2 linked regions of the Yarrowia lipolytica genome follow. Each later gene encodes a partner of the first gene's protein in a complex. Links are inferred from orthologs where the notes say so. Each region holds a gene or a part of one and is shown on either strand. Other genes may lie near its edges. The genes, in order: YALI1_C33217g and YALI1_E18081g.

What was found.
Region 2: YALI1_C33217g (region 1) and YALI1_E18081g share a complex: the UniProt entries of both Schizosaccharomyces pombe proteins name them as parts of the mediator complex. The link is inferred for Yarrowia lipolytica from reciprocal best matches to the Schizosaccharomyces pombe genes med31 and srb7.

Annotation. Positions count from the first base shown.
Region 1 is NC_090772.1:3,320,074-3,323,123, reverse strand, and holds YALI1_C33217g (uncharacterized protein), read right to left. Parts: upstream 1,367-3,050; coding exon 1,268-1,366; intron 1,194-1,267; coding exon 810-1,193; downstream 1-809. Other genes in the region: YALI1_C33245g (uncharacterized protein), read left to right, coding at 1-668; YALI1_C33214g (uncharacterized protein), read left to right, coding at 1,705-2,883; YALI1_C33193g (uncharacterized protein), read right to left, coding at 3,034-3,050. UniProt on the Schizosaccharomyces pombe protein: Component of the Mediator complex, a coactivator involved in the regulated transcription of nearly all RNA polymerase II-dependent genes.
Region 2 is NC_090774.1:1,806,411-1,809,451, forward strand, and holds YALI1_E18081g (uncharacterized protein), read left to right. Parts: upstream 1-1,724; coding exon 1,725-2,252; downstream 2,253-3,041. Other genes in the region: YALI1_E18025g (uncharacterized protein), read left to right, coding at 1-717; YALI1_E18095g (uncharacterized protein), read right to left, coding at 2,469-3,041. UniProt on the Schizosaccharomyces pombe protein: Component of the Mediator complex, a coactivator involved in the regulated transcription of nearly all RNA polymerase II-dependent genes.

The sequences.
Region 1 (3,050 bases):
TATACGAGTGGCAAGACGTTCATGCTGTTGCTAAGAATGCTTGGATTGAAAGCGTTGAGCAGGCCAAATATGCCGTCATCATGAGCAACAGACATAGACGACACCGCATGCTGCCCGTGGGCAAAGACCACCTTGGAAACACTTACTGGGTGTGCCAAGAGCGACTCACCGGAGTTCGGGATCTTTCCAGTTTCATAATTATTGAGAAGGCCGAGGGTTCCGAGTACCCTGTTCCCATGCAAGAGCTGATAGCATACAACGAGGCTCACCCTCCCAAGCCGAAAAAGAAGAAGCCTATCAAGAAGGCTGCTCAGCAACCTACCAAGGAGGAGGGGAATGAAGGAGACGAGGAGACTCCTGCTACTGAGGAGGTGGTTGCGGAGGAAGAAGAGGAAGAAGAGGACGAGGCTCCTCCATTGCTTCCAGATCCCAACCACGAGTTCTACCACTTCAGTCTAAACACATCTCGGCCTCTTCTAGGCGCCAACCAAAACACTACCTTATATATGGTTACGTGCAAGGAGGACGGCGAGCTTTTGGCAAAGTGGCTGCCATACCATATGGGCGAGAAGGATCCCACCAAGCCTCCCAATGAGCGTGACAAGTTCATCCAGCGAATCAAGCAGGTGAGCGAGATCATGCTTCCTCGAGAGCTGATTGCCACATAATATAGACGACGTGGGAAAATGTAAAATAGTATATATTTCTATATGATGCATGCTGGAAGAAGGCATACGGTTGTGTAAGTAGTTGCACACACCAAAAGGATTGTAGGTTAATTATGCTGATTTTTTCTTAGGATGATACAGTTATGCCATCTGAACATCGCCGTCTCCGTCCTTGTTCTCCATCTTGACGTTTTGTCCTGGCGGAGCCTGAGAGTCCTCCCGTTTCAGACCCTCTAGCGTATCGTCATCTCCAAACACACCGGCCTCACTGGGCTTGATCCATGCGTAGTAGAACTCGTCCATGAGCTGCTTGGCAAAGTCAGGCCGGCTGATTTCTTTGCGGAATGTAGCGTACTGGAGCAGTTTCAGAACATGAAGACAGTTGGGGTAGACCAGGAACCTTGCATACTTTGGCTCTCGCCAATACTCCAGGTATGAGAGGTAGTTGAGGAACTCTGGTGACTCTAAGTACTTGTTGTGTGCCAGATATGACAGGTATTGCGGGTTTGCCAGCGATTGAACAAACTGTGTTAATTGAACGGGTCATCATGTCACGACGTGGGTCATGTTTGTGGCGAAGTTCTGACGTCGATACTCACCTCCAGCTCGGCCTCAAAGCGAAGAGACCGGTCGGGCTGTTCGGATCCGTCCTGGATGCCGTCGGTCACAGGTTTTTCGGCTGTTGCCACCTCCGCCATTTTCCCGTGGATATTGTGGTGTTGTTGGATTTCAGGAAGTCGCTTGCAGGATATATGCAAGTGCAGTGGCACATAAAGTCGGCATTGAAATAGACGTGTCAGTGGGCGCCTGCTCGGGCAAGAAATGGAACCTGGCAGTTATTATCGCTAGTGGATATTTATGAAAATGTTGAGACCGGAGACCCCAAAACAGATGCCGCAAATACCGCAATCTCGTTGTCCAATCTAGCCCTACACGTGACGAAAGCCTATTTGGCTATCATGGCTGCTGAGTGCAAGGTAAACGGTAAACTACAAGTAGGCTGCTGTTGCATTGCTACCACTCTCCAAAACCGACAATGTCAAAGCCCCAGATTGTCAAGCAAGAAACAATTACCAGTCCAGATGGACTCACTTCCACAACCACAACCGTGGATAGCGACGGAGTGACCACCACCACTTCCACCTGCGGAACAGTCTCCACAACCACTGTTGTGGGCCCCGACGGCACTCATACCGCCAGTGAAGGTGACGCTGCCTTCGAATCGTCTTTTCCCAACCTCGTCAAGATCCCCGTGGGACAACCCCAAGAAGCAAATGGGACGACTCCCATCAACAGAAGAGGCGCCAACCCCAGCTCGTCGGTTCGCAACAATTACAAGCACCCGGACCTCCACTCCGAGCTGACCGCCAAGAGTTTTGGAAACGGTATGTTTTCTCTCCTTGACCTGTCCTTGATTGGTTTGGTATTCTCTGTGCTTATCTTGGGTGCCCTCGTCGGCAAGATCGTCGACCACACCTACTTTGCCGACAAACGAAACTTCCTTAACATCTTGTTTGTCAAGAATGGATGGCTCTGGACCACAATTGCATTTGGGTACATTGTATACGAGACGTTCTCTGGTTCAATTGGCCTGGGTGTCTCCTTTGGCACAAACACCTCTACGGGAACCCGAACTGGAACCACCCACGACGGAGTGTCAGAAACTAATTCCGATAGCAAGGCCAACGCTGCTCTGAAACTGCTGGTCGGCATCTCTGCACCTACCCCCATTGGCCAGCTCTCCCGATACATTATCCACTCTCTGTGGTGGCTTCTCTTCACCCAGTGGTTCCTTGGTATCCCCATCATGGACCGGTTCTTTGTGGCTACCGGTGGCAAGTGTGAGTACCAGAAGGAGAACGCAAGCCCTATTACTGGTAAGACGATATCATCAGCATCCTGTAGACGGTCTGGGGGCACCTGGATCGGTGGCTACGATCCTTCCGGTCACTGCTTCCTGCTGGTGCTGAGCACCATGTTCCTCGTCTACGAGACCATCCCTCACATCAAGCGACGACCATACAAGCTTAGTGCCAAGATTGCTCTGGGTACCGCTGCTCTGTGGACTTGGATGTACTTTATGACATCTCTGTACTTTCACACCTTCTGGGAGAAGCTTATGGGAGTCATTTTTGGATTGCTGACTGTCCAGCTTGTCTACGTCGTTATTCCTTATCTGACTCGACCCAAGCCTAGTGTTGGCTCTAACAATTGATAGACGTTGTACACGGTACTGTAAGTATGTGTGCAGGTATTAATAACTTATAAAAGAATAAATATCGTGGCCTAGCCACTGTTAGTCAGAGCGAGTAGCTACTTGCCGATAGAGAACTACTAACGGAGCAGCTATCTCTTGTCAGAAGAGCTATCTATTGGCGCGAA
Region 2 (3,041 bases), on another chromosome or scaffold:
CACCGACAGTCGTGGCGCTTCTCCGATGCTGATTTGGACATTGAGGAGGAGGAAGAGATGGACGGCGAGTCAGAGATCACCACGTCTCCCTATGCATCACCCCGAATCCCTCAGCGGTCTGAACGACGACGTGGATCCACTTCATACGATATCAATGGCTTCATCCAGACTCCTGGAGTTGCCCCCCAGACCTTGTTCAATTCTCCAAGATTGTCCCAACAGTTTGAGTCCTCTCCCCAGACATTGCAAACTCCTCAAACACCCTCTTCTTCGTCGTCTTCAAATGCAGGCTTCCGCAGAAAGAACCATGGCCTTGGACTCATCAAGAACCAGCCCTCTTCTGATTCGATTGGATCATCATGGACATCTCCGGGCTCAGACTTTGTCGAGCAGCACAACTGGTTGTGCCAGACTGCCCCACAGTCGGATCTTGAGAGTGCTGCCTCCACACCCAATGCGTCACAGACTACCTTCCGAAGGTCTGCCTTGTTGCCCTCTCCTCTATTATCTCAACAGCAACAGCAGCAGCAGCAGCAGCAACAGCAACAACACGGCCAGCAGCAGCAGACCCAACAGCAACAGCCTTACATGACTAATGGCAGACACCTTTCTACTTCATCGCTACCTTCTCACGGAGCGATTTTGGAGGATCTTGCTGAGGAAAACCCTGCACACCGACCTTCCGTGCCATATGAACAGACTCAAACTTGGATTTAGGTGATGTACGATACAACAATGCATTTTAATTATCACGTCTTCCCTGGACAATTTATCCACTTGTACCAGTATGTACAGCACAAGTAGTTACACTTTGTACGGTAGCACTATAGACCTTCCTTAGTCTACTGTAGTTACATGTGCTGGTACCGGTAGCTACTGTGACTGCAGCAAAAGGTCTACAGTGCTACCGTACCTCATGTCAGACAGCTACTTGTACTGTACAGTTTCGCACCTACGGTAGTGTACATACTGTATCGGTACTAGTAGATAAGAAATGTATCAAACAAATGTATGGGTTTACATTACCTGTAGGCACTCAGTTGCAACCGAAATACGACACTCGTTTCCCTGACCCCCCTGACATTTCCCTTCCTTGTATTATTCTCCAGTAAAACCGAGGCTAGAGAATGTTTTATGACTACTGTATGTACGATACACCTCCGAGGTCAAATTATGGGCCGATAAGCACACTACGGGTATGGGTACGAGACACCACAAACAAGTACTCAAGTAAACAAATGTATGGGGATTGGTGTCATTATAAAGAGGAAGACCTTGTCCTGTCAAATGGTGAGTAGTTGCTGATATTTTCGGTGGCGTATGTTGGTGTAGTCTACATCACAGAATGATGGACAATATGGTTGCCAGCTGTTCATACAACATTGCACAAGGGTTAGCGCGGAATATTATATGAATACATGCGGGCCGCACAGTTTGGTGGGAATACCTACCTACAGTACTGTAGACACCAGAGAGTGGGGCTTTTATTATGCCCTCCCATAGTCAAGTCTATCGATGTTGGTTTCAAATAGCGAGGTCAGTTGAACCATGTCGTAATCTACTGAAAGTGGTAGTCCAGCCAATAAGATTGGACACGTGCTAAACATATTGGACCGAGACATTCGACCCTAGACTTTTCCAATTGTGGTATTACGGAAGTCTTTTTGAACTTCGGTCTCATTTCCGCCTCCTCGTTTCGTTTATTGCGACTCGCATCCACATGCATGATACCTCCGGTTGAGATGGGTGCATACAGCACACATCTCCCAGAAAGCCAAATTATTAATCTCACTTTGGAGTATCAGAAACACGCGACGAAGACACATAACATGGCGGACCGACTGACCCAGCTACAGACGTGCGTGGATCAAATGCTGACCCAGTATTTCTCGGCACTAACGCACATTAACACCAACCATGGGTTCAAGTCGTTAGCGGGGGAAGAGTTGGTCAAGGACGATACGGTGCCTGTTGTCACAGACGAAGAACGCGAGAGAACGCTAGAGGAGCTGGCGAAAGACCTTGTGGTCAAGTCACAACAGATTGATTACCTCATAGATTCGTTGCCAGGTATCGGTTCTTCGGAGGAACATCAGATGCAGCAGATCGAAAAGCTGCAAAAGGAGCTGGAGCATTATGATCAGGTAACAGAAGACGTCATCAAGGAGAAGGACGAGTTGTTGGAGCACTGTGATGAACTGATTCTAAAGCTCGCACAGAGAAAGGCCCACATCGACGTGGAGAGCATGTAAGGATGGGCAAACACCCGATAAGCCTGCCCTGCGAAACGGGCAGCAGAAAAAGAGGCACGACGGGTAAGACTAGGCCTGCTCACATCCTACCGCGAGGCGTTCTTATCACTGGTAATACCAGAAGCCTCTAGCATCTTGTGGAGCTGGAGCACTCTGTTCTAATGGCGACATCTTTATAGAGTGCATCAATTTTTGTATTGTATGTATTATAAATAATCAAGAGGCTGCGACAGCGGCAACCTCAGTTTTTGTAGCGGTGGCGGTAGTCACGTCCCCAGTTGTAGGATCTTTCTCTTCATCCTTTTCGGTAGGCTTGATCTTGTTCTCCAAAGCTTCCAGTCTACTTTTGACATTTGCAAGTTCAACCATTTTATCAACAGCACTCTGGAAGTGGCCCTGTGCTATACGAAGCGTGTATGGTGGCATGATACCAAACATCCTGATGGGATCTGTTTTCGCTCCCTTCTCCTCCTTCTTGCTGTGTATCGTGAATTTCTCACTGGCATGTGACACCGTGATCTGGGCGCATTGGGGCCGCTCATCATAGCTAAACCTCGATATTCGAGAATTAAAGGTCGAAGCGGCCATGAAATTGTCGTAGTTGGTCTTTGCAACGTCCAAGTGGCCCTGCTTGAGCTCTTCGCACATGTCCCTGGTCAGATGTTCATAGTCATCCACCAACTGGAGCAAAGTCACAAACAGATCGTCGTTGCCAGAGCTTCCATCATCGTCCTCACGGGCCAGATTATCAATCTCCAGCTTGCTGAGGCCCTCCAACAGGCTGGCCAG